Sus scrofa: one gene and its partners. Each later gene encodes a partner of the first gene's protein in a complex. Links are inferred from orthologs where the notes say so. Each region holds a gene or a part of one and is shown on either strand. Other genes may lie near its edges. The genes, in order: GEMIN4, SNRPD3, STRAP, GEMIN5, SNRPD1, SNRPD2 and GEMIN2.

The links.
Region 2: GEMIN4 (region 1) and SNRPD3 share a complex: the UniProt entries of both Homo sapiens proteins name them as parts of the SMN-Sm complex. The link is inferred for Sus scrofa from reciprocal best matches to the Homo sapiens genes GEMIN4 and SNRPD3.
Region 3: GEMIN4 (region 1) and STRAP share a complex: the UniProt entries of both Homo sapiens proteins name them as parts of the SMN-Sm complex. The link is inferred for Sus scrofa from reciprocal best matches to the Homo sapiens genes GEMIN4 and STRAP.
Region 4: GEMIN4 (region 1) and GEMIN5 share a complex: the UniProt entries of both Homo sapiens proteins name them as parts of the SMN-Sm complex. The link is inferred for Sus scrofa from reciprocal best matches to the Homo sapiens genes GEMIN4 and GEMIN5.
Region 5: GEMIN4 (region 1) and SNRPD1 share a complex: the UniProt entries of both Homo sapiens proteins name them as parts of the SMN-Sm complex. The link is inferred for Sus scrofa from reciprocal best matches to the Homo sapiens genes GEMIN4 and SNRPD1.
Region 6: GEMIN4 (region 1) and SNRPD2 share a complex: the UniProt entries of both Homo sapiens proteins name them as parts of the SMN-Sm complex. The link is inferred for Sus scrofa from reciprocal best matches to the Homo sapiens genes GEMIN4 and SNRPD2.
Region 7: GEMIN4 (region 1) and GEMIN2 share a complex: the UniProt entries of both Homo sapiens proteins name them as parts of the SMN-Sm complex. The link is inferred for Sus scrofa from reciprocal best matches to the Homo sapiens genes GEMIN4 and GEMIN2.

The regions. Positions count from the first base shown.
Region 1 is NC_010454.4:47,114,588-47,117,466, forward strand, and holds the end of GEMIN4 (gem-associated protein 4), read left to right. Parts: coding exon 1-477; 3' UTR 478-2,112; downstream 2,113-2,879. UniProt on the Homo sapiens protein: The SMN complex catalyzes the assembly of small nuclear ribonucleoproteins (snRNPs), the building blocks of the spliceosome, and thereby plays an important role in the splicing of cellular pre-mRNAs.
Region 2 is NC_010456.5:49,583,863-49,588,379, reverse strand, and holds the start of SNRPD3 (small nuclear ribonucleoprotein Sm D3), read right to left. Parts: upstream 2,894-4,517; 5' UTR 2,496-2,893; intron 2,463-2,495; exon of another isoform or gene 2,334-2,462; intron 1,507-2,333; exon of another isoform or gene 1,452-1,506; intron 827-1,451; 5' UTR 809-826; coding exon 683-808; intron 1-682. Other genes in the region: protein GUCD1, read left to right, coding at 3,493-3,535. UniProt on the Homo sapiens protein: Plays a role in pre-mRNA splicing as a core component of the spliceosomal U1, U2, U4 and U5 small nuclear ribonucleoproteins (snRNPs), the building blocks of the spliceosome.
Region 3 is NC_010447.5:56,733,933-56,738,678, forward strand, and holds the start of STRAP (serine-threonine kinase receptor-associated protein), read right to left. Parts: upstream 2,958-4,746; 5' UTR 2,635-2,957; coding exon 2,523-2,634; intron 1,846-2,522; coding exon 1,710-1,845; intron 1-1,709. UniProt on the Homo sapiens protein: The SMN complex catalyzes the assembly of small nuclear ribonucleoproteins (snRNPs), the building blocks of the spliceosome, and thereby plays an important role in the splicing of cellular pre-mRNAs.
Region 4 is NC_010458.4:68,302,929-68,306,886, reverse strand, and holds part of GEMIN5 (gem-associated protein 5), read right to left. Parts: intron 2,565-3,958; coding exon 2,425-2,564; intron 1,421-2,424; coding exon 1,249-1,420; intron 1-1,248. UniProt on the Homo sapiens protein: The SMN complex catalyzes the assembly of small nuclear ribonucleoproteins (snRNPs), the building blocks of the spliceosome, and thereby plays an important role in the splicing of cellular pre-mRNAs.
Region 5 is NC_010448.4:106,796,797-106,801,211, forward strand, and holds the start of SNRPD1 (small nuclear ribonucleoprotein Sm D1), read left to right. Parts: upstream 1-1,404; 5' UTR 1,405-1,548; coding exon 1,549-1,562; exon of another isoform or gene 1,563-1,583; intron 1,584-1,794; exon of another isoform or gene 1,795-1,869; intron 1,870-4,415. UniProt on the Homo sapiens protein: Plays a role in pre-mRNA splicing as a core component of the spliceosomal U1, U2, U4 and U5 small nuclear ribonucleoproteins (snRNPs), the building blocks of the spliceosome.
Region 6 is NC_010448.4:52,039,311-52,043,717, reverse strand, and holds the start of SNRPD2 (small nuclear ribonucleoprotein Sm D2), read left to right. Parts: upstream 1-1,243; 5' UTR 1,244-1,317; coding exon 1,318-1,319; exon of another isoform or gene 1,320-2,218; coding exon of another isoform or gene 2,219-2,286; intron 2,287-2,715; coding exon 2,716-2,895; intron 2,896-4,407. Other genes in the region: QPCTL (glutaminyl-peptide cyclotransferase-like protein), read right to left, coding at 277-486. UniProt on the Homo sapiens protein: Plays a role in pre-mRNA splicing as a core component of the spliceosomal U1, U2, U4 and U5 small nuclear ribonucleoproteins (snRNPs), the building blocks of the spliceosome.
Region 7 is NC_010443.5:169,682,268-169,686,225, reverse strand, and holds part of GEMIN2 (gem-associated protein 2), read right to left. Parts: intron 2,837-3,958; coding exon 2,720-2,836; intron 441-2,719; coding exon 396-440; intron 1-395. UniProt on the Homo sapiens protein: The SMN complex catalyzes the assembly of small nuclear ribonucleoproteins (snRNPs), the building blocks of the spliceosome, and thereby plays an important role in the splicing of cellular pre-mRNAs.

The DNA of each region.
Region 1 (2,879 bases):
AACCTGAAGCCCTTTGCCCAGGAGCTCCAGCTCTCTGTACTCTTGCTGAGAGCTTTCCAGTTTCTCTGCAGCCAGAGTTGTCGGAACTGGCTTCCCCTGGAAGGCTGGAGCCACGTGGTCAGGCTCCTGTGTAACAGCCTGACCGGCCTTCTGGACTCAGTGAGGCTGATCCAGTCCGTTGGCCCTTGGGCCCAAGGACAAGAGCAGGACCTGAGCCAGGAAGCCCTCTTTTTTTACACGCAGGTGTTCTGCCATGTCCTGCACATCATGGCCATGCTCCACCAAGAGCTGTGCGAACCACTCTACGTTCTGGCCTTGGAGATCCTCACCTGCTACGAGACCCTGAGCAAGACCAACCCTTCCGTTAGCTCCTTGCTCCAGAAAGTCAACGAGCAGCGCTTCTTAAAGTCCATTGCCGAGAACATCACCCCTGAGGAGCGGCGCCAAACCCTGCTGCAGAAGATCAGCAGCTTCTGACCTCGGGGATCAGAAAATAGCTGGGCCTCACCCTGGCGGGGTCTGCAGGCCCTGAGCTGAGAAACGCAAACTTTCCAGGTACGTGACATTGTACAGAAGCCCAAAAATGTGACAGTAGCAGTGCAAAGAAAATAGTTTCTTAGGTATTTGTAACATACAAATTATAATAAAATGCTCTCTGGAGTTTCATCTTGCCTCTTCTTCCCCCCCCCACCGCCTTCCCCCACCCCGCCCTTTTAGGGCCACACCTGCTGTGGGACTACGCCACAGCCACAGCCACGCCAGATCCAAGTCACATTTGCAACCAACACCACAGCTTGCGGCAGCGCCCGGTTCTTTAACCCACGGAGCGAAGCCAGGGATCAAACCCGCATCGTCAGGGATGCCGTGTCGGGTTCCTACCCACTGAGCTGCAAAGGGAACGCCCATCTTTCCTCTTTTGAGCCTTTCTTATCAGTGGTCTGGGCTCGGCAACACACTCTGAACTCGGGCTCAGCCCGTCTTAAAGATCAGGTCAGGCCGGGAGGAACAGCATCGTAACTGGCCTCCACCCGAGAGTTTGGCAGGTAAGTCTAAAGGGGGAACCACCCAAGTGGCCCCATCACAAGGGCGGTGTTGTGTACTGGGACTCGTTGTAAGAGTCGTTTGAGGGCTCTTGGAAGGGGCAGCAACTACGGAAAGGACCCTCCTCTGCCCCCAGGCGGCCCTGTGATTGGTGTGTCTCCAGGGCCTGCAGCCTCTGTGAAAGGAGAGGGTTGGACCAAGAACATGAGATGTTGGGGGGCAGATCAATGACCTTCAGAAGATGCCCCACAGAGTTGACCGCCCCCCCCGTCATTCAGTGGATCCCCAAGGGCCTGTGCTGAAACTGCCTGGTAAACACAGCTGAGGCGTGTGTAGGGGACGGGTGTAATTATCTTCTGCCTCGGATGGGTTGTCACAGTTTAAAGAATGAGCAGGAGCAGGGATGGTGTGCAAAGATGCGTGAAAATGAGAATTTCACGTGCCCAGCATCTGTGACAGAGCTATGAGGACTGGCCGGCAAGGTGTCTACCTGGGAGGCCAGGAAGGACAGGAGGAGCCCCGTCCCGGTCAGATCCACGCCCCGGTCAGAGCGAGGGCCTGTGCACGTTTCCTCCCCCCCTGCAGTGGGCTGGCTCCACGGCCTCCCATTGGCTGTGCGCCCTCCGGACAGACTCCTAGTTGGGATTCACCTGGGAAGAGAAGGGCCTAAAGGTCCATGATTCCACTGGGCCTGAACTCTGGAACGCTGCCTCGTCTTCCCAGAACCAGAATTACAGGATCATGTTCAAGAGAGGTGTGAGTCAGGCCCTCCTGGAGGCTGGAAAGCGCTCACACATCCCCCGCCCCGGCAGCCGGCCCCCCTGCCGCTTAGATGAGAACTCAGGCCAGAAACGAGCAGACGGCAGCCATTCACGTTGGGTCACAGGATGGATCTTAGAGTTGGTATGGCTGTATTTCACAAACGAGAATGAGTTGGAAAATATTAGTGCAATTTAATCACCACAGGAGTGATTTATCAGGATACACTGATGGTAAACAAAACAGTAAAAAAAATTACAGCATTTTATGATTTTTAAATGGCACCCATTAAAGACTGAAATAGTCAAAATCGAAGACACTGTTACACATTCAGTACTTTAAAAGTTCACGAACAACAATGGATTAAGTAAAAGGCACTTTTAAAAACCTAGTTTTTTAACTACCTCTTGGGGAAAAACTTCATGGTAGCGGGTTCTAAACCCCATCCTTGTTAAGGGACATTTAGTGTTGGCACCAGAGTATCCTCTTTGCAAATGGCAGGTGAAGAAGTCCGTCCAAGGACAGGTTTCGGCCAGGGCTGTCTTGCGCTCTTGCCCTCCAGCCTCCTGGGGCCACGCGGTGGTAACTCAGATAGGAGCAGGCTTTGGACCACAGGCTCTGGCTTATCGGGAGGCAGTCTAGCTAAGATATCTCAGGGTTTGGGGTACAGAAGTCCTTTCTGCTTCATATGAGAAGGACAATGTCAAAGAGGGGGGTTACGCAGCAAATAGTGCAGTAGCTGTCACTTGCTGTTACCCTGGAGTTTTCACAAGAGCATCCTGCGTGTGTCGATCCGGTGAGAAGGCTTGAGGGACACACCAGAAAGGGAACGGTATCTGTGGCGTGTTTACAGCAAGCTCACAAGCTTGACTTTGGTCTTAACCGAGGCAGCGTGCGAAGGAGCTGACCTGTTGACCTTGCTACCTGCTCAGGTGCTTCAGGCTCCCATCCCTGCCTCCTTCCCCACCCCACCAGTGAGACTTCTGATTGGAAGTCGGTCGGCAGGAGGATTCAATGTTGGCACATGGATGAAAGGATGAGGCAGAGGGCCAGCAGGTTACCTAGTAAACAATAAAACC
Region 2 (4,517 bases), on another chromosome or scaffold:
AATCCAGATCTGATTCCAAAGCCCAAGCTCTTAAGAAAGTGTCACACACTTTGTAAAGTGATGCTATACAAATTCACATAATTATTAGCAAAATCAAAGTACTGCCATCAGAAGGGCACCACGTCAAGAAATGGCTTCAATATTTATTAGCAAGTAAGTACAGTAATTAAGTCCTTTAATCTTATCTTTCCCATTTTATGGATGACAAAGCTATCATCAAAACCTTCTTACCTCACAGGGTAGCTGCTATAAATGCAATCAAAGAAGATACCTCCCCCAAGAAGAATGGCAAATAACTACCATATATAAGTGGAAGATTTACATATGGTATCCAAACCACATGGTATGCAAACTGCAAAGCAATGGGCAAACAAGTAGGGATGAGTTACTAGCGACCCTGAACCTAATGGTTCTACTGAACATTGTGCTACTTCTCTTAAACAGGCCCCGAGATATGGGAGAAAACGGTTTATGGGGTTGGGAAACAAAGGACAAAATTAAATATTCCAAATGGCTCTTACCTATGCCCACATCCCTGGTATCTGGAACAGTGCCTGGCATTCACTAAGCTCTCAGTAACTGCTGAATGAGAACTTCAAAAAGACCCTCAATCACCAGCTTTCTGTCCTCCAAGACACAGGCTCAAGCTCCCCCCAATAGGCTCATGTGCAAAGCAGGATACCTGGCAGTTCATGTTGTCCTCGGCTTCAATGAGCTTCCCTCGGTACACCTCTCCCGTGTTCGTCTCACAGGTCACAATGTGCCCCTCAGCCTCATGTAGGACTTTAATCGGCACACCAATAGACATCTCGGCAGGAAGAGAATTCTACAGAGAGAGAGAGAGAGAGAGAGAGATAAGAGTTCATGGTTCAGGGCCTGAGAGGCATGTGGCACAAGCCTCACTCAAGGCTGGACACTCTGTAACACTCAGCAAAAATGCCAAAGGCGTGTTTTTTTTTTTAACTTTATTTTTTTTGCTTTTTAGGGCTGCGCCCCCAGCATATGGAAGTTCCCAGGCTAGGGGTTGAATAGAGGCTACAGCTGCTGGGTTATGCCACAGCCACAGCAACACAGGATCTGAGGCACATCTGCGATTACACAGCTCACAGCAATGCCAGACCCTTAACCCACTGAGCAAGGCCAGGGGGCAAACCCACATTCTCATGGATCCTAGTCAAGTTCGTTAACCACTGAGCCAGGAAGGGAACTCCCAAAGGAACTTGAAAAAGTAGCTTAACCCCAGCTTGAAGAACATATCTAGCAAACAAGATGCAAGATTGGGTGGGGAGGAACAGGGGGGCTAGACAGAGGGAAAGCTAACAGGAATGAAAAGACTGCCTCTCATCTCCCTGCTACCACAGGTCCCTTTATCTTTATCAAATAACTATGTTGCAGCAGAGGGGGTTGGAAGGCAGGTGTACTTGTTAACCCAAAGCAGTGGGTAACATCACCTTGAGAACGTAGGACGTAGACCTGAGCTGTCCAAAACAGTAACCACTGCAAGTTCTGAAATTGAATAAAATTAAAATGAAATAAGGAGCTCCAGCTGTGGCGCAATGTGGTCTGAGGCATTTCTGGAGCCCTGGGACACTGGTTCGATCCTTGGCCCACCATAGTGGGTTGCTGCAGCTTCGAGGAAGGTGGAAACCATGGCTTGGATCTGATCCGTGGCCAGGGAACGCCATATACCTCAGGGTGGCAAAAAAAAAAAAAAAAAAAAAAGAACGAAAATTAAAATCAAGAAGAGTCCATGCATTTAATTCAACCCAGTAAGTGCTCTTTGACTCTCCATTTACTTCACCATCAAAGTTAAAGAGAAAATATCAAAGTATTCACAAAGTGATAATGTGCTACACACAGGAAATGCTTATCTTGGAGAAAAAAGGGAATCAAGGCAAGCCTGACTTGACCTTAAAAGAGGAAAGCTGTCGGTTTTTAAATTCCAAAATGGTCAGCTGAAAGGTGGAATACATCTCCTGCATAAAGAGAAAAAGGAAGAGCAGTGAAAGAGACAGGCGCCCTTCGTGAGAAGCCTCAGAAGTGTAGATTTTATGCTGAACGCAATGGGAGAACCACGGCAGGACTATAGGGAAGGAATTATCCCTGGGAAAGGCAGCAGCACTTACAAAATGGTTCGAACACAGCTTAGATGCAGGGAAACTTGAAAGAAGCTTGTGTAACGGTGTAGAAAGCATGAGGGGGCGGATGGAGGCAGGGAAGCAAAGGACTTGGGAAGGAAGCAACTAGCCAGAAACGACCTCAAGACCATTGCCTGGATGCTTCGAAAAACACTGGCCTGGGGAGGTATGGAAACTGAAGGAAAAGCTAACGACCTCACTTCCAAGCGCTAGTGAGGCGACACTGTCTGGTGGCCCGGCTTCCCGCTCCTGTCCCTCGGCGAGCCCCGCGGAGCTCCTCGGCAGCGCGTCCTTCTCCAACCCTCTACTCCTCCGAGTGCCTCGGCCTCCCCACGCCCGCCCCCAGCCTCCCCTCACCGCCTGAGGTCTCCTCCTCCTTCCCGGTGCGGCCGCGACTCTGCCGACTGCGAAGCGTGAGACAAGCGAATGGCGGGTCCCGCGCTCCCAGAATACCACGCGTTCCCAAAATGCCTCGCGCAGGGCCCGCCCTCTTCCTTTTCCCAGTGGTGAGCGCGGTCTCGTCCTCGCTTCCACCTCACCCCACCGGCTGGGAAACTCGGTCTGTGGTTCAAGAGTTCCGGCCCCGGAAGACTGATGACTGGACCCAGGTGCCGCCGGAAACACCGACCCTCGGGCCGGCAAGGGCAGAGAGGGACTCGCTTTTCCAAACACCTCACACCGGCGACGGGCTGGACGGCGAGGCGGGGATCGGGGGAGGCAGCGGTGGGGCCGAGGGCCAGGACCTCCCCTCACAATTTAACCTTCGGAACCCGGCAGTGCCAGGTAAAGGGACCCCTGAGCGGAGAGGGAGACAGGAGCAGAGCGGGTGCCGGCCCTCGGCCGTCCCTCCAAAGAGAGTCGAGGTGGGGCTGGGTCTCCCGGCCCCGAGGCTGGCGGAGGAGTAGGACCTGGCAGAGGCGGAGCTTGCCGGGGGCTCTGGGGAGCCCGCGTTCGTGGAACTCCCGGGCCTGGGCGGGGCTTCCGGGGAGCGGGGCGGGAAGGGCTGCGCGTCCGCGCCAGGCCTCGGAGGTCGGGGCGGCAACCCTGGGAGCTGACACTTTGAGCGGCCGGGACCAGCGGAGACAGGAGCCTGGGAGCCTGAGGGCTTGAGGGCCAGAGGAGGCGGGGGCGGGCCGGGGCGGGGCCCAGGGCGGACGGGGCGGGCCAAGGCCTGGAAGGGCCGGGGCGGGGCTTGGGGCGGCCCAGCTGCCGCCTCCCCTTCTCCCCACCGTGCTGGCAGTGGCGGTGGCGGCCCAGGAACCCGGGGACTAGCGGCCCCGCTCCCGCCCCAGACGAGGCCGAAGCTGCAGCCGGCGCCGGGCCGGGGCCATGGGAGCCCCGCGCCGCCCACGTCATGAGGACGGAGGGGGAGGCATCGGGGCCGCCGCTCGAGCCCGGTCAGTGCTCCCTGAGGGCTTAGCCCTCATCCAGGGGAACAGGGGGGCCCACCCTAGCAGCGGTCAGGGTCCGGCCGCGTGACCTTGGACCGACGGCCGCCATGTCCTAGGCTGTAGAGCTTTGAGTGAAGTCTGGCCAGGTGTACACCCCGCCTTGGCTCCCGCAGCGCCAACCGCGGTCTGCTGGGGTTTCCTGATACTCCCAGGGCTGGAACCCCAGGCAGCTCTGATGGCGGTCTTGGTGGGAGGGTCCTGGTTGAGAGGCTGGGGCGGCAGCTTCCCCAGAAGCGAAAAGTCCTGCTGAAGCTGCCGTGAGAGATCCTGTCCCCTCGGGGAACTGAGGCCTAGAAGGGCAGGGAACTGGCAGGGAGCATAGAGCAATGGGGGAGGCCCCCCCCCCCGGCCTCCCAGACTCAGTGTTTTGTCTTGCTAGAGTTCTTCACTCTAGTTCCTTATGTCCCAGGTGGCCTGTGTTCCCTTGCAGGCAGAAACCAAAACTCAGGTTGTGTGTGAACCTCGGTTTGCTTTGCTAAATTGGGGAGGGAGAGAGCAGTAATTCCTGCTCTGGTTAAGGCACAGGGTTGGTGAGAAAGGAAGTGCTGGTAAACTCTAAAGTGAGGTCCCAGCTCCTGGGAGAAGTCAAGAGCATGTGGGAGCCTGACCCTAAGGAATCAGCAGGATACTGACTGTGACTGCAGCAAGGAGTAGGGTCTGGAGTTACCCGGGGATTGGCCTCCCTAATCCTCTAATTATCTAATTCTGTGATCTTGGACCAGACACTTGCATGTTCTGAGCCTCACTCAGGGAAGTAATGACTCATATTTACAGTGAGCTTTCTATGGGCAGATACTCTGCTAAATTGTTCACATTCAGACTCTCATTAATCCTCATAACGACTTCCTGAAGTCAGTTACCATTGTTATTTGCACTTTGGGAAATGAGCAGACTGAGGTTGAGAGTGATTAAGTATTCAGGGCCTGTG
Region 3 (4,746 bases), on another chromosome or scaffold:
ATCTCTCACCATCTCAAATGTAATCTCACATGAGCATGGGATTATATTTCCCTCTCCTTACTTAAAAAAACAAAAACAAAAAAACTTTTTTTTTTTTTTTTTTTTAAATGGCTGCACCTGCAGCATATGGAAGTCTCTGGACCAGGAATTGAATCCGAGCCAGCAGCGGTAACGTGAGATCCTTTAACCCACTGTCAGGGACCTGGGACCAAACCCTACCTCTGCGGCAACCTGAGCCCTGCAGTTGGATTCTTAACCCAACTGTGCCACAGCAGGAACTCCTTAAAACTTAAATTTATTTTTTAAAAACTTACATATAGTAAAACTCACTCTGTGGTACAGAGGTCTAGAGTTTCAACAAATGCACAGTCAGGTATCCACTATCTCAATCAATCTGCCTTCATTTTTTATAATAAACTTGGTATGTTTAATTTGCTTACAACAAAGGAGAAACACATTTAGAATCGCTTCTTAATGTGAAATTCTATTAAAAAAAAAATCAACAAGACAATTTTACTCTCCAGACTTTCAAATCTAATAAGGAGTATTCCACGTACAACAGCCCTTGACTTGCCTGCCTTAAACACTTTATTGTTTACTAAGTCACAATCAGGAACTAGAGGTACCAAGATTACATAAGCTGTGACCCATGCCCAGATAGGGAAAGTGGGTCATCGCAAGTCACTTTAATATCATATACAAAAGCAAAAAAAATCAGAGTAGGTAAGGCATATTCTGGCAACAGTTAGATTTAGTATAGCCAAATGATGGGGCATATGATGTGTAGTGCCAGATGATGCCCAAGAACTAGGATTAGGCCAAATTTTAAAGAGCTAACAATGAAATTTAACCTTTAGGCTAGTGGTTAAGGTTGTACATCAGAATCATCCAGAAAAACTTTAGGGAAGAAAAAAAACTAAAAAACAAAAAAACCTAGGTTGGGAACTCCAACTCCAGACCAATTAAGCCAGAGCTTCTCAGACACATGCATCTGAGTACTTTAAAAGCTTCCCAGGTTACTGTAATGTACACCCAAGGTCATGGGCCACTGACAAAGCAGAAGCAAAGATCTTTAGGTAAAGAAGTGTTATGTTATTTGTCTCCAGGAAGACAACTGGCTGATGAAGAGATGGGAAAGGACCAGTTTAGGAACCTAAACCATTAAGGTAGTGGCAGAGGTACAAGAAACAATGTGGTCAGGAAACATTCTATTGGCAGAATCAACAAATATGATAATCTAGATGGAAGAGAAAAATCAAGAATGATTTAGAAACTTAGAAAATGAAAAATAACTGAGTTTGGGAATCTTAAATATGTCTAACAAAAATGAGAGTGAAACTGGGCTAAAAATGTGGGGCATCAAGCACTAAGAAGTTAAGGAGTATAAGGTATTATTCAGCTAGAACATGTGGAGCAGTATTTGCCAGCATGACCATCAACATTCATTATCTGAAGTGCTTGTTAATAATGCAGATTCCTGGGTCCCAGTCCAGACATACAGAACTAAGTCATTTAAGTCTCTGAACATTTTGAGAAAGCAGCAGATAAAATATGGGCGGAATTTTGGTGACATCAAAACAACATGTGTTCTCTACGTTAGGCAGTGCATGAGAACTTTATGAATAACTTTTACTGAACTTTTATTATTGATCATTTCAGAACACAATTCACAGAGAACTGTAAAGGTGGCCATTTCTGGCTACACTTACGCTGTGAAATCTGCAGCTGCTGTAGCTGCTTTGGTGGCATCCTTATTCAATGTTGCACCCCAAACAGCACCCTTATGACCCAAAAACGTTCCAATCCAGTCTCCTGTATCTCCCTGGCGTAGCATAGGTTTGCCATCTAAAAAATATGTAAGAAAACATGTGATGTAGAAGCTCAAATTACTTAAAATCTAGGATCCGAACTTAAAACAAACAGTGATGAATAACAAACTTGAAAACTGCTTTTGTTGTCTAACTGTTCACTCACTGGGGTCACTAAGGCACATCCAGAAATAAATTAACTGAAGAACTGGGCCATTCTCTCTGGGAAGGACTTGAAATGCGGCAGAAAGACTATTCATCTGCAACAAAACAATCTAGACGTGAACCTTATTTTGGACAAACTTAATAGTCTCAGCTTCCACTTGAAAATTGGAAATGAAAAATTCCATACCACAGAAGAATATCCAATGAAATAGTAGAAGTGGAAAGTCTTTGTAAAATAAAGTGTTACTTAGCCTGGCCTAGTTTCTGCATTCCCCAAATCCTTTAAAGATATTTACGGTGTTGGCCGGGGCGTCTGGGCAAGTGCACAGTAAAGCTTATCCAGAAATAGCAAAAAAGGTAAAATGAGAAGCCTTGGTTGGGGGCATAACTTACCAAAGCTTCTCCTGGCATCAGCTGCGCAATCCTTAACACTACTCGCCCTACCAGCCCACTAATCTCAAAAGCCGCAATCCATTCGGCAATGGGAAGTGCCGGCCCCACTCCCTTTCCGCCCAGTCCCAACCATCTGAGCCCAGCGGCCCTGCTCACCTTTGCAAGCACTGATTAAGAAATAGCCATAAGGCGTGATGCCACTGAAGGCCAAATCCACCACAGGCCGCGTGTGGCCGGAGCAAGTGAGAGGCGTTTGCCTCATTGCCATGGCGGCGGCGAGCCGAGCGATCCCGCAGGAGAGCTGAGGGTCGTCTCGTCTTTTCTCTTCTCCGCGGCAGCGCCTCTCACTCAAGGCCTACGCCCTGACGCTGGGCCGGGAAACAGAAAAAGGCCAATCTGGTGGCCCCGAAACCAGGAAAGGGTTAGGGGTGGGTCAGGGAGTGTGCGACTGGCGGTCGACCGCCGCCGAGGGAGGGAAAGGGAGGGAGGGAGGAGAGTAGGGGAGGGGGAGAACAGGAAAACCGGCAGCCACGATCCCCACCGTCCACACCGGTACTCGCAGGAAGTGACGACACTAACCCTCCGCCGGAAGTGACGAACAGGAGGGAAGGCGGGTTCGCTGGGTAGAAGAGGCGTACTGGAGCGAGAGCGACCGCAATGCGCAGGCGCGAGATCAGCTCAGGTTGAGCACGTGATGCTGGCTCCACGCTGGCTACGCAGGGCTCTTGGCCGCGTTCCAGGCACTGGGTGAAAATCCTAGCGCTGAGCTCTAAGCAGCTTGGGGTGCTTTTCTGTTTTTGAGCCGTTTGGAGTCGAGTTGGGGGCGTGCGGAAGCGGGTCCTGCTTCAGTCATACCCCGAATCTGACCGCATCTGTGGTTTACGCACTGAGCCGTCCAGTGGTTTGGACTGTGCTATCTAGACGTCTACACTGAACAACCAGAATTGTTTCCAGCGGTGGCCCAAACCAGCAAACACCGTCTAAGAATTTTTTTTCCAATCTTTGTTAGCAGTTGTATAGTCAGCTCCTCTGGGATTGTCTACAAGTAAGGCCCTTAAGAAAAGTCTTTCTCCCAGTCACCCCTTGTGCTGTGTAACCTTGCATTGTTAGTGTTTCAGACGTGAGGGTTATGCGACTCTAAAAACAGTTAAATTAGTTTATCTTTTGAGGACGTTGGGAGACCCATGAGCAATGGTCCTCAAATTTTTTGATGAATACCCACATCAATAAAACTTGCGTCCGTCCCCCAAATATGCGATAGTGAATAATTTGTGAGTTATTTGCATATTAGTGCATAGAGAAGAATAGAAATATTAGAAGAACCTTAAACTTCAGTGTAAATAGAAATACTGGTGTTGTCTTCCTGCAGGCTCTCCTCTTTGGATATCACTCCGTGGTGTAGCAGAACTGTTGATGGATTGATTGCTCATGCAAAAACTGACCTGAGCAAGAAGGGTCCTTTTTCTGGGCAAGTTATTTCTTTCCTTTAATGCTTGTTAGGATGTCAACAGAAAATACCAGAGATTTTTTTTGTGGTCTCTTTCACTACTTTATCCCAGGCCATAATGTCTTGGCACATACCAATACATATCTAATCAGCACAAATGTCTGCAAATGTTTCCCTCTCCCTCATCTTTTTGTAGTAAACATGTATCTTCGTTCAAGTCTAATTACTTGAATGGAGACTTGAAGTGCTTCCCCATTCTATTTCATTAGCATTTTGTTCATTAATTTATAGTACAGCACTTACTATATATGTTTTCCACTATCTTTTTTGTTTTCTCTGTGCCAACCTCACCCCAAGTTCCTACACACATGCACACACACACTCTGTTGACATTTAAATTGTGAGCTCCTTAGTGGCAATTGTGTGGCACTGTTGTCTTTCTACTCTGGTATCAGAAGAGTGAATGGCATTTAGTGAATGCTGGACAAGTGATTATTAAGTAAAGTAAAGCGTTAATGATGGAGGCATCTAAATAAAAGATAAAACTCGTTAGAACAACTAGTCAGTAAGATGTTAATACATGGCCATTTGTTGCTTATTGTGCGTAGGTAACTGAAAACTTTTGTCTCTAAAGTACGTATAATTCTTTTTTGTTGTTGTTGTTGTTGTTGTTGTTGTTGTTGTTGTTGCTATTTCTTGGGCCGCTCCCGCGGCATATGGAGGTTCCCAGGCTAGGGGTCGAATCGGAGCTGTAGCCACCGGCCTACGCCAGAGCCACAGCAACGCGGGATCCGAGCCGCGTCTGCAACCTACACCACAGCTCACGGCAACGCCGGATCGTTAACCCACTGAGCAAGGGCAGGGAATGAACCCACAAACTCATGGTTCCTAGTCGGATTCGTTAACCACTGCGCCACGACGGGAACTCCTAAA
Region 4 (3,958 bases), on another chromosome or scaffold:
CAGGCTAGGGGTCGAATCAGAGCTGTAGCCGCCGGCCTACGCCAGAGCCACAGCAACGCGGGATCCAAGCCGCATCTGCAACCTACACCACAGCTCACGGCAACGCCGGATCGTTAACCCCCTGAGCAAGGGCAGGGATGGAATCCGCAACCTCATGGTTCCTAGTTAGATTCGTTAACCACTGCGCCATGACGGTAACTCCCATTGCTATTTATTTTTTTAAGTTTTTACCTTTTGCTTTTAAGTTGTCTTTATCGAGATAATTTAATACCAGAAAATATATGCACTTTTTAATACTTTTATGAGTTTAGACTAACGAATAGTCAGGTAACCTAATGCCACAAATACAATATTTACATTATTTCAAAATGTTCCCTGAACTCCAGGCAGTCACTGACATGCTATCACTGTAAATTTAGTTTTGTCTGTTTTAGAAATTCACATGACATATAACTATTGCATGTTCTATATTAGAATTATAAAATATTTAGTCTTTTGGGCCTGGCTTCTTTTGCTCAGCATACTCTTTTTTTGAGATTCATCCATTTTGTTGTGTTTATAAGTAGTTACGTTCTTATTATGCCTGAACAGAGTTCTACTATAGAGATATACCACAATTATTTACCAGCCGATGTACATTTGGGTTGTTTCCAGTTTGTGGCGATTTTACAGATAAAGCTATGAGCACTCTTTTAAAAAATCTCCTTGTGGAGATATCATTTCTTTGTATACATTTCTAGTTGCTTATATACTATGTCTAGTTTTCTAGCTGTGTCTGGTAGGTGGGCAAATCTGGCACCAGTTAATCTTTTATGGTCAGAAATGGAATTCTCCTGCTAATTATTTACAAACTCAAATCATCCCAGATTTGGGGAGGCAGCCCCTTCAGGTTGGCTTCTTTGCTCTTTTGCTACATCTCAGTTCTTTGAGCACTTCCTTCCCTGTGGCATAGGCTGATGCTGTAGGCCCGTCTTGAATTTCTCCTGGCCTAACCTGGAATTAGCCATTTCTTCAAGAAGCCCTGGCTGGGGGTTCCCTTTTAACTGAGAATAATATTTAGAAAGCAAGATGTGGATGCCTGGTGTACTTGCGTATTGTCCTCAGGCCCCTCCTGGCTGCCATCTTTGTGTGGGCTTCATCCCCCTACCACACTGCCGCCGCCACACTGCACGAATGTCTTCCCTGCTTGACTCTGATCAGTTCAGTTACTGAATTAGGCAAGCCTTCATGCTCCAGGTTCTGACTGACCTTGAGGAGGCCGGGAATGTTCTTGCATGGACGTGAGCCATTTGTACACACAGAAGTCATCTGCCCCTGAGTAGATGCAGTCTGGATCCAACGGGGACCAAGCCACACAAAGCAGTCGACCTCGATGTCCACGGAAATTGTACAGAGGCTCTTCCTGGAGGGTATCCCACACCTAAAACCAAAAGCCACACAAGAGAATAGATAATTTTTGGTAATTTTTTTTTTGGTGGGGGGGTGTATAGACATTTTGCAAAAATTTTTTATATCTGTGTATTCTTATTTCCTCTTGTGATCTGTTCTTTTCTCTGAGGAGATGAGTTTCAGAGAGTACTATTTCCTATGGGAAGCTTTTGTGCTCTGGGGCAAGAGGCACATCCATGGGGCTGACTTTGAGTAAACTTCTAATGGTGCCTTATGGATTTTACTATCTTGAACCCGTATTGTCATTATTTTTGGGCTGGGGATTCTGAAACCATGAAGAGAATTCTAATTCAGAGCCCACGTTTTCATGTGTGATAAATTCTTAGGGTTCTAATTTCTTTTGTCCCCAATTCTTGGGCAAATGATCATTTCCTTGCTGTTTCTTGAATTACTCCAGTCTCCATTTCACAAAGGGCAGCCCTTCATGGCTTTCAGCTCTGGGCAGACAGCTCATTTACCACTCAGTAGTACTGAGACAGACATCCATCGCAGATGATAGATCCCCAGTTTCTAAGGTCTACTCTGATTCTGGTAACTTGGAGATCTGACTTACCAATTTATTAACAGAATATTTTTTTATGAGGTATAGTCACCATTCTGTGTTTGAAAAGGAAGGAGTACTTTTTACATCACATACTCCATAATGACAGTAGGTCAGAATGAAATATTTAAAAACATCAGAATTTTGCTATTCCTTTTAATATTTCCCCTTTCATCAAAGCAAAAAAAAAAAAAAGAAAGAAAGAAAAAGAAAAAGAAAACCACCACCAAAATCAAAATAAACCCAAAACTTAGCCTGCCAAGGGCGCAGACAGGCTTAACTAAAATGCCCTCTAGAGTGCAAAAAAATCTCTACAGAGTATCTATAGAAGACATCGGTGAGGGAAGGAATGTGTACAAAACGGAGGGAAAGAGGAAGGCGTTTCAGTTAGAGTACAAGGTGAAGAACCCACAGAGTCAAGGATGCAATAGTACCTGAGCGGTACCATCATAGGAAGCAGACACCAGCCTTCCGTCATGATGTGGGCTCCATGCCAGACGGGTGATCTTGGCTGTGTGCCCTGAGAGGGTCCGGTAGGGCTCTGTGATGGTCACTGGAGATTCAGGATTGCTCTCTAAAAGACAAGGGGATGATGTCATTTTTACCAGTAACAACAGAAAGATATAAAAGAGCGTATTAACAAGGTGAGAGTCGAGATTTTGCAACATGCTTTCTACATGATTTTCAGTGGGAAATGACTGTTTAGCAGTTAAGAGTGTGGGCATATCCACAGTGCCTGGCATATGGGCTTACTGCACGAAGTGTTAGCTATCATTCTTTCTAAAGCTATCACAGAGAAAACAATACCATTTAGATGGGATAGCAAGCATGTACCGTCATGTGTATGGCACTCTAGCTAAAAGTGTGTAACGTGAACCTAGTCATGAGAAAACAGGAGTCCAAACCAAACTGAGGGGATATCTATAAAATAACTGGCCAGTATTCTTCAAAAAATTCAAGATTAAAAAAAAAAGAAAAGGCTGAGAGACTGGTCTAGATATAAAAGACAATACTGGATCAGCTGACAACACAAGAATAAGCATGGTAGATCAAACTACTACATTAAATTAAGTGAAACTATAATGGAATCGTGATTATATATGGGAATATCTTCACTCTTACAAAATATACAAATATTAAGGGATATGGGGGCATGACACATGCAACACAGTTTGGAAAAAATACACAGAGAGCAAAGCAAATATGATGAAGTGTTATAAGTTGTTGAATCTGTGAAAGGGTATATGGGGGTTCTTCGTACTATTCTTACAAATTTCCTCTAAGTATGAATTATTTATGTATAAGAATGTAAGGGTAAAATGAAGTAGATTCTGGCCATTTTTTTCCCTCTTTCTATCATTCAGTAGATATAAAATAAAAAACAAACCAGGGTGATAGTATTACAGTAGACAAAGACCTGCCTTGTTCTTAAGAATTAAGTTAATGCTCTTCAGTAAGTGGTACTGGGCAAACTGGACAGCTACATGTCAAAGAATGCAACTATAACATTTTCTCACTTTCATATACAAAAATAAACTCAAAATGGATTACAGACCTAAATAAAAGTCCTGAAATGAAAGCACAGAACTCCTAGAAGGGAACTTTATATTTTTTTTAGAGCCACACCCACAGCATATGGACGTTCCTGGGCTAGGGGTCAAATTGGAGCTACGGATGCAGGCCTACACCACAGCCACAGCAATGTGGGATCTAAGCCTCGTCTGCGACCTATACCACAGCCCCACAGAAACGCAGGATCCTTAACCCACTGAGCAGGGCCAGGGATAGAACCTGCATCCTCATGGATACTAGTTGGGTTTGTTTCCACTGCGCCACAAAGGGAACTCCCTAGAAGGGAACTCTGACACAAATCACAGTGGCTATTTTTTGGGATCTGTCTCCTAAGGCAAAAGAAACAGAAGCAAAAATAAACAAATGGAACCTAATTAAATGCTTTTGCATAGTAAA
Region 5 (4,415 bases), on another chromosome or scaffold:
TGAGATTGAATTAAAACCAGGCATACTTGGCATCCTGGAAGCCAAGAAAGGAGCATGTTTCAAAGGAGAGTGTCTGTTTTGAATGCTGCTGAGATGCTGAGTAAGAGGAAGACAGAAGTTTGTATTGGGTTTTTGATCACCATTAGAAAAGCAATCTCAGTGTATTTGAAGATCGAATTACAAGGCAATAAAAACAAGTTATAGACAGCTCATTTAAGGAGGTTTTCTGTGGAAGAAATCTGGTGGGAGCTAGAGCTGCATGAGAGGAGAATTTTTTTTTTTTAAGACCTCACCTGCAGCAAATGGAAGCTTGAATCAGAGCTGCAGCTGAGGCCTACACTACAGCTACGGCAACACTGGATCTGAGCTGCATCTGTGAACTACGCTGCAGCTTGTGGCAACACTGGAGCCGTAACCCACTGAATGAGGCCAGGGATAGATCCCACATCCTCATGAATACTAGTCAGGTTCTTACCCTGCCGAGTTCCCACAACTGGCACTACAAAATTTTTTCTTTCTTCCTTTCCTTTTTTTCTTTTTCCATTTTTGGCCATCTCCGAGGCATATGGAGTTCCCAGACCAGGAATCAGATCCAACCTACAGTTGGAACCCACACTACAGCCAGCTGTAGCAATGCAGGGCTGGACATCAAACCCGCGTCCTGGAGCTGCAGAGATGCTGCCCAATCCTGTTGCGCCACAGTGGGAACTCGTTGCTTGTTTGTTTTTTAGATAAATTTATATGTTGATAGAAAAAATCAGTAGAGAAGGAGGAATTGATGATTCAAATTAGAAGGGGATCATTGAAGGAGTGAAATTCTTGAGGAAATGAGATGGGATCCAGACTACAACCAAGAGGAATTTGCTTTCCAAAGGAGCAATAATACTTCTATCGTTGTCACAGAAAGGGAAGCAGAAGGATGGCTTCTGTTTTCTAAAAGTAGGATACGTTAGAGAGTGATTTGGGAGAAGAACTGTAAAAGGTTTGAGATAAAGAGAAGAAAGAAGGTATGAAATACTTTGTGAGCTTATTAGAGAAGCATAACGATCTCTGGGCAGTGCAAGGGACACTTTTGAGGTTTGTGACCAGAATTTAAAGTGAAAATAATCAGTTAAATTGTATGATTTTCTTCAGCACATTAAGTAACGCTGAGATACCTGGTGGTGGAGCATAATCCTTTGGGATTCTCCAATTATTTCCTTTCATTCACGAGAAAATTTGGTGCTACATAATACCCGGAGCCTTGTTATGCTCGCTAATAGGATTTAATTTCCTGAAATACTCTCTCTTACAGGAAGTTTCCTCCTGGATCGGCCCTAAACGCCCTTAACAGTTGCAAGGCACACCTCCTGCCGCCAGAGGCCGCACTGGCGCTACTCGCGGCCGGAAGGGAGAGTGGCCCAAGCGCAGCCTCGGCGTTTCCGCCGTGAGTGCGCAGGGATCCGCGCGCTCTTTACGTCGATCCCCGGGAGTAAGCGTTTCCGGTCATTCATTCTCCCTGCGGGTCGGCCTCTGCGGTGGGGTTTTGTGTACTATCGGACCGAGAGGATGAAGCTCGTGAGGTGAGGAGGTGACCGAGCAGGGTGGGTACTATGAGGGGATGTCCTGGACCGGGAGCGGGGGGGTTGAGCTGCCCGAGATGCAGGAGGCGCGAAAGCCGCGTGCGCGCGCGGCCTGCTAACGGCCTTCGGCGCCCGCCGCTCCCGCCCCATCTTGGTCGCGTCGCCGCGGGCACTCGACCAGGCTTCAGACTGGGTCGCCCAGGGATCTGCGGGTCTTCCGAGAGGTTGAAGGCCGGGCGGTGTTTTCCCATCAGGTGTCTTAGAGGCCTTAAAAGTACAGAGCCAGGCTTACAAGCTCTTACTTTCGGTGAGTTACAGACTTCCGTTTCTGTTAGAACGTTTCTGGCTCGTCTCAGCACTCAGGAACCGGCAAATTTAACTAGGTCCACGCTTCCTGAGAACGTGGGAGACATAAAAATTGTACATCCTGCACAAGTAGTTTAAATTAATGCATATTTTTTAATGAAACTACCGTCACACTTAAAAGAGTACTTAGAAGCTGCAGGGGTTTATCTGGAGATAATGAAATCCAATTCCGAAGTATTTTAAATCAGGGATCAGGGATGGACTTCTGATTTCCTGAGGTTTTTTTTTTTTTTAATAGTGTTTTTTTTCCCTCTTGTTGTTATTCCCTAGCCTTAAGATTATTCAACTTACATTTCCCTTTAAAATAGCCCTTTGATTTAGGAAAAAACCTCTCAATATGGGGTAGAATCACTCTTCCGTACTTTTTGGCTGATTACACAGATAATCGAGATTTATTCTGTTTATTTCTGTATTTAAATTTGGTCGATTAGTTGAGCCTGCTGAAGACTCGTTTACTGGTTGAGCTAATTCATCACAAAAACTACCTGCAAATAGATTGAGTTCTGATGTTTCTCCTTGAGGCTGAGAGCCTGGAACATAGAAGCAGAGGCTTTTACAACTCAGCCGGCAGTTATAAACTAGCTTAACTAGTTTATTGTCTGTTGAGTCAAGAATTGTCAATGTCGACCAAATAGTTAAGCACATGGAGTTCTTGGACCAGGGAACACATCCTAGCTGCATTTGCAACCTACTCGGCAACTGCAGCAATGCTGGACTGTGCCGGTGGGGATTGAACTGGGGATCGAACCTGCATCCCAGTGCTCCAGAGACGCCAAGAATCCCAGTTGTGCTACAGCAGTAGCCCACCCCCCCCTTAAAGAGTCCTATGTTGTAGTAGCGTTCGTTTTGCAGAGAAGATAGACAAGAAGATAGTTTGAGATAACATAAAGAATCCTCATTGTCATATTCAGGCTGGTGTTTGTAGAGAAGGCATTTAAGATTGACTTTTTGTCTATTTTTTTCCCTTCCAGTTTTATTGAGATGTAACTGGCTTTCAGCATTGTGTAACTTTAAGGTATATAACATAATGATTTTTTTTGGCCGTGCCAAAGGCATGTGGAAGTTCCCAGGCCAGGTATCGAACCTGTGCCATAGCAGCAACCCAAGGCTGCAATGACAACACTGGATTCTTTCTTTATTGACCAGCTGCACCACGAGGGAACTCCCACAGCATAATGATTTGATTTACGTACATCATAAAGAGTGTAGTGAACATCCATCATCTCATGTAGATATAAAATTAAAGAAATAGACAAAAAAATTTTTTTTCTTCTGATGAGAACTCATGATTTACTCTCAACAACTTTAATATATAACATACAGCAGTATTGATTACATTTATCATATTGCATATTACATTTCTAGTTCTTACTTATAACTGAAAGACTTTGTCCATTTTATTTGAGGTATAACTTTGAAGGTAAACATCTCAGAACTTAAAGTTTATTTTTTTTTCTTTTTTTTAGGGTCACATCCACGGCATATGGAAGTTCCCAGGTTAGGGGTCTAATCAGAGCAACAGATGCCAGCCTACGCCACAGCCACAGCAACGCCAGATCCAGCCATGTCTGCAGTCCACACCACAGCTCATGGCAACGCCAGATCCTTAACACACTGATCGAGGCCAGGGATTGAACCTACAACCTCATGGTTCCTAGTCGGATTCATTGTAGCTGTATCCCGACAGGAACTCCTAAAGTTTATTTTCTTAATGTCTGAATACTTGCCAGTCAGAGTCTTAGTATAGATAATACTCTTTGGAGTCTTTTGTCCCACTTAACGATAGTCCATGTTGTGACAGAATTTTCCTATAAAATTTTTTTTTTTTTTTTTTTTTTTTTTTGGTCTTTTCTGGGGCCGCACCTTCGGCATATGGAGGTTCCCAAGTCTAATCATAGATGTAGCCACCGGCCTACGACAGAGCCACAGCAACTTGGGATCCAAGCCGCATCTGTGATCTACACCACAGCTTATGGCAACACCAGATCCTTAATCCACTGAGTGAGGCCAGAGATTGAACCCGAAACCTCATGGTTCCTAGTCGTGTTCGTTAACCACTGCACCACGACAGGAACTCCTCCTATAAATATTAATGCTGTACTGAATCCTATTCTGTGTCTTAGACTATAGAAGCAAAATTCCTAATAATTGGAGAATGTATTTTGCACTGGGAAAATGGGTTTTGTATAACTAGTTTGCTAGGGATCCAGTCTGAGCTATAGCCAATGGCCTGTTCCACAGCCACAGCAACATAGGATCTGAGCTGCGTCTGTGACCTATACCACAGCTCATGGCAACGCCAGATCCTTAACCTACAGCAAGGCCAGCGATGCTAGTTGGGTTCACTAACCGCTAAGCCGTGAGGGGAACTCCTTGACTTAGCTCTCTCAGTAATCCTGATAATGTGATAAATTGCCAGGTTTTGGTGTTTTTAACCTGTTTAATAAAGTATCTCACTATCCTGTTATCTTGATTTTTTAATTTTTG
Region 6 (4,407 bases), on another chromosome or scaffold:
AGCCCAACGAGAGGAAGAGACTTCCAAACAGCTGACTTTAGGATTAGAACCCAGAACTCCCAGGCTTACTACTCCAGACCCTTCCTCTTACGGTGCAACCGCTATTATAGAAAAAGCCCGAAGCCTCATTGCATTGGAAAGGGGCATGCGCTCTAACGACGAAGATCGCGGCACCTGCGGCTAGGGCCCCACGATAACGATAAAGCCACGTCAACCTGAGACTTTGAGGAGGGGGAGGCGGGGAATAAGGGCTCCCCTGTCCCCGTCCGGCCTCACCCGCATCTCCCGGCCCAGAGGCAGCTCCTCAGTCTGGCGGTGCCAGCCGCTCCAAATGGTATAGAACACCGAGGCCACCGCCAGCGCCAGCAACAGCAGGGGCAACAGCTGCGCCCGCGGTAGCAGGCGGCGCTTGGGCGGTGAGGGTGGCTCCAAAAGGCCGCGTTCCCCAAGCCGTAGCCGGGGCCGCCCGCGGCCCCCTGAACGCATGGCAGCTTCGCCCTGAAACCGGTCGGGGACTGCGGATGGAGTTTAGGCCAGCCAAGTCCCACCCCATGGAATCACCGGACCAATAAGCAACAAGAGCGGCTGCACCAACCCACCCTTCAGCAAGCAGTAAAGCCAATGGGGACTTTCGTACTGAGGACACGCCTCCCTGTCTCCCTGAAGCTTAAGGGTTGGTTCCCCTGAGGGTTGCACAACCCAAAAGGGAGCGCGAAAGAGGTAGGCACCGCCTCAGCGGAAGAGGGGAAGCCAATGAGAAGCATTTGATCCTAGAAAACAGCCGACCTCCTGGGCGCGGGTCCACGCCCCTCCCGGATGTAAGCAAAGGATTGGTTATTCCAAGTCCAAAGGATTAACAAACACATAAACGGACGGTCCCCTAAGTAGAAGAGGAGGTATCCATCCCTGAAGCGAGGAGCCGATTGGCTTCGTGGATGCCGCGCCCCCGAAGGCAGGGCCGGCGGGCATTTGGAAATGGCTTGTCCTTTCCCTCCTTCAACCTGTGCGGTTCTACAACGAAATGGTTTGAATAAGTCCTGCTTTCTCTTCCTCTCCATCGTCAATATCTGCCCGGTACAGTCCTGAATGGCCTCAAAGTAGTACGTAAGAGTTTTACCCTACAGCCGCCTGTGGCGAGCAGAGATCGCTATGGCAACAGGCCACGCCCCACCCACTAGCTGTGTTTGCGCAAGCGCCCACGGAAGTGGGCCTCAGGAAGCGGAAGTCCCGCCCTTCTCGCTCCTTTCAGAGGGCGAAGAAGCAACGCGGAGACGGTGGTGACTGGAGTGCGCGGTCGCGACAACTACTGCCACCGCCATGTGAGGCCGGGCTAGGCTTAGGTGGCAGGAGTGGGTTGAGGGTGTAAATCTGGCCACTTGCCGGTGGAAGGGGGTGGGCAGAGCCTGGGGCGGAAGCAAACATTTTCGGGGTAAAGTGGCGTACGTTACCGATGAGTTTGAGAACAGATGTGGGGCCTTTTTCGGATCCTGACTTTAGGAGCAGGAGCAGCTTTATCAGATAACGGGCTGGGCTTTCCCAAATAATTAGTCTTACTGAAGCGAATGTTAAGGGGAAGCGATGTACGAAAATGGAACCTGGGAGAGGGGAGTACGGACATGTGGGGAAGAACGATTTGAAGTGAGGATCTTATCAGGGTAATTTGAGCTGGAGACGGTTAGCCTTTTGACCTTATTCGTCGTTATCATGGGTCTCGAGTTATCGGAAGGATTTTACTTACGTATTCATGCAACAATTATTTATTGAGTGTTCATATGTCAGGCTTCTTTAGACACAGAATATGTTAGTGAATTACCCCACTCCCCCAAGGGAAAAAATTCCATTTTGCATTTTATGGGTTGGGTTGAGCCAGGCAATAAATGTAAAGGTAAAATATATGGTGTGTTAGGTGACCGGGGCTATGAATGAAGAAACAGTAGAGCAGGGTAAAACAATGTGGAATGCCAGTTTTGAGAGACAGGACACATGAAGAAGGGAGCAACTGGAGCAGAAAGCTGGAGAAAGTGAGCGCACAAAGATATTTAGGGACGTATCCAGGTAAAGGGGGAAAAGCAAATGCAGAAGCCTAAGAAGAAAGTTGCTGAAAATCTTCCAAGACACCCCTCTGGATGGAACGGAGTGAGAGAAGGCAGCGGATAAAGGGTTTTTACTTTCTACATTGAGATAGGAGCCTCAAGAGAGTTTCGCAGAGTGAGATGATATGACTTGGACCTTGGCACCAACCAGAGACTGCTCTGTGAAGAGCAAACTTGGAGAGCATGGGTGGAGGTAGGGAGACCATTACGGCTCTAGGAGAGAGTCGATGGAGGTTAAGCCATGGTGAGAAGTGGTCAGATTCCGATATATTTGAGAGGCAGGGATGATGGGATTTGCCAGCAGATTGAATGTAGGATGTGAGAGTAAGAAGAGTCAAGTTGACGTTAGAGGTTTTGCTCAAAGACATAGCAAGATGGAGTTGCCATGGATGGAGACGAAGGCAGCTGTAGGTAGATTAAGTTTGGGGGTACCGCGGGGCCTGGTGTTCAGCCTAGGACGTGCAAGCTTGGAACTGTCTATTAGGCAGCTGTGTGGTGATGCTAAGAGAGAGGACTGAGCCGGAGGGTGGGTGTGTTGGGGAGACAGTGAGCGAGAGGGCATGACCACCCAGGCTCTGGCTCCAGGCCCTGTCACCTATGAGTTCCATACTTGCCCACTCAGGAGCCTCCTCAACAAGCCCAAGAGTGAGATGACGCCAGAGGAGCTGCAGAAGCGGGAGGAGGAGGAGTTTAACACGGGGCCGCTGTCCGTGCTCACACAGTCGGTCAAGAACAACACCCAAGTGCTCATCAACTGCCGCAACAACAAGAAGCTCCTGGGCCGCGTGAAGGCCTTTGACAGGTGAGCACCTGGGTCTGGGGAGGTGGTCTGTCCTGGCCTGGAGAAGCAGTCCCAGCTCTAGTCTGAGGAGCCTGGATTCTAGGTTTCTTAGAAGCCTGGGGCATAAGCGTCTGAAGGTGGGGTTCCTGTCATGTCTCAGTGGTTAACGAACCCAACCAGTATCCATGAGGACACAGGTTCGATCCTTGGCCTTCCTCAGTGGGTTAAGGATCCGGCATTGCAGTGAGCTGTGGTGTAGGTCGCAGGTGTGGCTCAGATCCCATGTCTGTGGTTGTGGTGTAGGCCGGCAGCGGTAGCTCCGATTTGAACCCTAGCCTGGGAACCTCCATATGCTTCCGGTGTGGGCTTAAAAAAAAGAGTGCCTGTTGTGACGGTCTCTGTTGTTCCTCCAGCTGTAAAGTTCAGCCATGGACTTGGGGGCCAGTCCTGGAATGATGTCCTGGCTCTGCCTCTTAGCAGCCGTGTGACATTCAGCAAGGGACCATATATCTCTTCCCTACAATGGCCGTAATCTTGATGGTTGCAAAGATTCAGTCACTTAATATATGTGAAGCACAGTCAGTCCTTAGGAGTAGCGCCCCCGGCACACGGTCTTCCTCATCAGTTTTCTCAGTTCGTGCACAGTGGCCTCTGCCCTTGTGGGGTACTGTCTTAGGCTCCAGAGATGCCATGGTGACTGAATCATACATGCCTCCTGTACTCAGGGGAGTCTACAGCAAACACATAATGTGTCAGGAAGACAAGTGATGGCAAAGTCTGTGCAGAAGAGTAGAGCCAGCTGAGAGTTTGGAGTGTGGAGAGGGAGTGCTGCTGTCCTCGGTGGGTCATGCAGGAGGCCTTCTAGGTGGACAGATGGGGATAAAACGAAGGTGCAACCTAGGGTCTGCATGTTTCAGCCATGGGGAGCAGCAAGTGATTTTTCCTCTCTGGGCCTCAGTTTCCTTATCTGCAAAATACTATGCATAGAATAATACCCCTCAGAACAGTCGTAAGGGTCAAATGATTTTCTGTAGGAAGAGCACTTAACTCAGTACCTAACATGTGGCAAAGGCTCAGTAAACATATGATCGGCAGGAGTTCCCTTTGTGGCTCAGCGGTAAATGATCCCTACTAGCATTCATGAGGGCGCAGGTTCGATCCCTGGCCTTGCTCAGTGGGTTAAAGGATCCGGCATTGCCATGAGCTGTGATGTAGGTCACAGAAGTGGCTTGGATCTGGGGTTGCTGCGGCTGTGGTGTAGGCCAGTGGTTACAGCTCCGATTCAACCCCTAGTCTGGAACTTTCATATGCCACAGATGCTGCCCGAAAAAGACAAAAAAACCAAAATAACAACAACAGCAAAAAACCATTGGCAGTCCTCAGCATCAGGGAAGTGCTTTCCTCTCGGCAGGGGGGTGAAGCTTACCTCTGGATTGCTTTTGCCAATGGCTACTGTGGGACCAAGAACAAAGCTTTCACTCTGAGCCTCAATTTACTCTTGAGTAAAGTGAGAACGAGAACGATAGGAAGTGC
Region 7 (3,958 bases), on another chromosome or scaffold:
TCATCCAGAACTAGAAACACCTTTTTGATCTCAGTATTTATTTCAAACCCCAGAATCTAAGACTTATAACTAAAATGTATATATGTGAATAGTTTAGCACCATGATCAAGAGCATGAGTTCTAACATCAGATCAACCTGGGGCTGAGTCCCAATGTCACCATTAAAATTCACTGAAAAACCACCAAGTGACTTTAATTCTGTTTCCTCAGCTACAAAAAAATAGGTATTAATAATAATCCCCCATAAAGGGTTGTAGTGAGGATTAAATAAGAACTGTTACAAAGTCTAGAACTGGGTCTTACATACTGTAAATATTCAGCAAATTATTTAAATATTTTAACACACATTGCAAACAAAAGAACACTTAACATTCTTATTATCAGACAGACTTTACCTGATTCATTCTGCTAACAATGCTAAGCAAGGGAGGAAAACCAATCTGAAAGAAAAATTAAATTGAAATTTACTAAATAGTATTACAAGGAGGGGGCTTCATTTTTTTTTTTTTTTTTCCAAACTGGTGAATTTCTCAACACACTGTTATTAAAGAACAAAGACTAGATAAAAGAAAAATTTCTCCACTGTCCATTACAATAAAATATTCCATGAGCTATTATGTTGGTAATGCCCAAGAAAATAATGTCTTAACATTTGAACACGTAAATTAAAACCAAAGAACGATTTTAGTAATTAAGATGTTAAAACGTGAAACTGAAAAAAATGATACTATGACATTAATATGTTGTATACACTTTTTCAAAATCTTCAGCTAAAGTTATTATTTTCAGGAATTAAAGGCACTTGAATGAGTTTTTTCAAACCTAGTCTGCTTCAATTTAAGAAAGTGCTTTGGAATTTAATGCGGGAAGCCTGGATTATGAAAACAGTCCTGACTTGGTGCGAAACTTGAGGACATGCATTAAACTTTTATGTTCTTAAATTGTTCTTTCACATGATATGCTTTACTTGTATGTATTTTGGGTTTTGTTTTGTTTTCTTTTCTTTTTAGGGGTGCACCCGTGGCATATGGAAGCCTTCTAGGCTAGGGGTTGAATCGAAGATATAGCTGCCGGCCTACACCACAGCCACAGCAACGCGGGATCTGAACCATGTCTGCAACTTACACCACAGGTCGTGGCAACGCCGGACCATGGACCCACTGAGCAAGGCCAGAAACCGAACCTGCATCCTCATGGGTACTAGTCAGATTTGTTTCCAATGCTCCAAATGGGAACTCCCTCACCTGTATGTATTTGGTAATAACGAACTATATATATTTTAATTCTGTGTCAAATTAAAATATATTATGGATATTATCCCAAAGAACATAAGTTGTCTAAGAAACAGTGTCAAATTAGCTCCCTTAGAGATTTGAATCTGTCTACACTCCCACTACCATGTGTAAGAGTGCCTGTCTTCCTAGCCTTTGTTGACTCAGTGTATCAAATTTTCTTTACCAATATGTCATACCAGCTCAGTGCAATTATAAGTTAAATTTCTATCATAAGTGAGTCTGGGCATCTTCTCATGTAAGAACAATCTGTATTTCCTTCTTGTGAGATGTCCTTTATATTCTTTGCCTTTTTTTTTTTTTTTTTAATTTGGGTTCTTGGTGTTTTTCAGTGATTTTTGGAGCTTTACATTTTGGGGCTAAACTAATTTTACTTTATTTATTTATTTATTTTTTTAAAACTAATTTTAATAGGAAAAACACAATGTGGCACCACACAGAAAATGATAAATATCTATTCAACAGAACAACATAGTTTCAGGAGTTACTAGTAATGCAGATGAATACAGTGAGTTTCCTTGGAACATCTGCACACTTGAAGGCAAGCGAATGCTGAAGGCAAGCGAATGCTAAAGGACAAGAAGCAGATAGCTACATAATTTATGATTAAAATAAAAGTCACGTGAAATTGGAGTTCCCATTGTGGTGAAGTGGAAAAGAATCCAACTAGGAACCATGAGATTGTGGGTTTGATCCCTGGCCTCGCTCAGTGGGTTGAGGATCCAGCGTTACCATGAGCTGTGGTGTGGGTGGAAGACGTGGCTTGGATCCTGCATTGCTGTGGCTGTGGTGTAGGCCAGCAGCAGTAGCTCTGATTAGACCCATAGCCTGGGAACCTCCGTATGCCACGGGTGCAGCCCTAAAAAAAGCAAAAAAAATAAAATAAAGTCACGTGAAATTAAAATATACCCTCAACATTTAATCTCCAGAATATGAATTTATGAATAAACATTTTAAAGCACCTAACTTTGTTTCCTTGACTACTTATAACTCATTGTTTGACTCATGCCTAATGGTTTTTTAAAAAAAGAATCCTATCTGACAAAATTATTAAAAAGCTAAACCATAAGAGATATGAAGCTAACCTAAAAAGAGCCACAGTACATTGTTTTATAAATGAGGCTATCAATTTTTAAGTCAAAGAGCCAATGAACTAAGTTAGGGATTGGCAAGTAATTTCCGTAAAGAGCCAGACAGCAAATATTTTAGGTTTTGTAGACCATATACTGTCTAAGTCACATTATTATTAATTTTTTTTAACAACCCTTTAAAAATGTAAAAACTATAAAGTTTTTATGTTTAGCTCATGAGCTGGACAAGAACAGGTTGCAGATTGGATTTGGCCTAGACTGCAGTTTGCTGAGTCTTTACATGAAATCATGCACTGAAATTATAATTTTTCTTTGTGTAGCCACATTATCACCTACTTGTACATAATCAATTCCAGGACTTTCACTTGCAGCTGGTCCAACAGTAACTCCTTCAGCACATAACCTTTCACCGAGACAAAATTTTTTCCAGCCTTCTTCATCTTCAGATTTTGGCTAAAACAAAGAAAAAAGAAGAAGAATTTAGTTATTCCTATATAATTTTTAAAGAAAATACTCAACAGTGAAAAAAATAAGTGAGAATTCCTCTGTATCCCCACCACCTCAACACAAAGATATACTGCCTGTTACGAAAGAGTGAACTGTGTAGTCCTAAAAATCACGTGCTGCAGTCCTAACCCGCAGTACCTCAGAATGTGATTATTTGAAGTCTGGGCCTTTATAGCAGCAATTAAGTTAAAATGAGGTAGTTAGGGCAGGTCCTAATCCAAAATGACCTGCATCCATAAGAAGAGGAAATGTGGACAGAGAGCTATTACACATGTGTGTGCACACAGGAGACTATGTGAGGACAAAGCAAGAAGATGACCATCTGAAACCAAAGAGAGAGGCCTGAAGAGAAATGTACCGACACCCTGATCTCAGACTTTGATGGTCACACCAGCATTTAGTTTGGATTGTACTTTATTATTTACTTATTTTTTTATTTTATTTTTTTTAGGGCTGCATCTACAGCATATGGAAGTTCCCAGGCTAGGGGTCAAATCGGAGCTGAAGCTACAGGCCTACACCACAGTCACAGCAATGCAGGATATGAGCCACGAATGTGACAATGGCAGCTTGCAGCAATGTCAGATCCTTAACCCACTGAAGGAGGCCAGGGATCGAACCTGCATCCTTACGGACACTGTGTTGGGTTCTTGACCCACTGAGCCACAATGGGAACTCTATAGTTTGAATCATACTTTATGGACAGTGACAAACAAGAGTGTGTTCAAAAGAGGGTGATAAAGATAGGAGCTGATATGGGACACTAAGAATGCTTACAAGAATAAAGGATGAGAATCCCAGGGAAGGAGACATGATTACATATTCCACATACTTAAAGGGCTGTCCAATCAAATAAGAAATATTTATTCTACATTGTCAGACTGAAAAAAAGCAGGACCAATTAGGAGCTCTCTTGTGGCACAGTGGGTTAAGGATCCAGTGTTGTCTCTGCAGCAGTGCTGGTCACTGCTGTGGCATGAGTTCCTGGCTTAGGAACTTTTACATTCAGCCAGTGCAGCCAAAAGAGGGAGGGAGATCTGGCTTGGGTTGCTGCTGTGGCTAGGGATT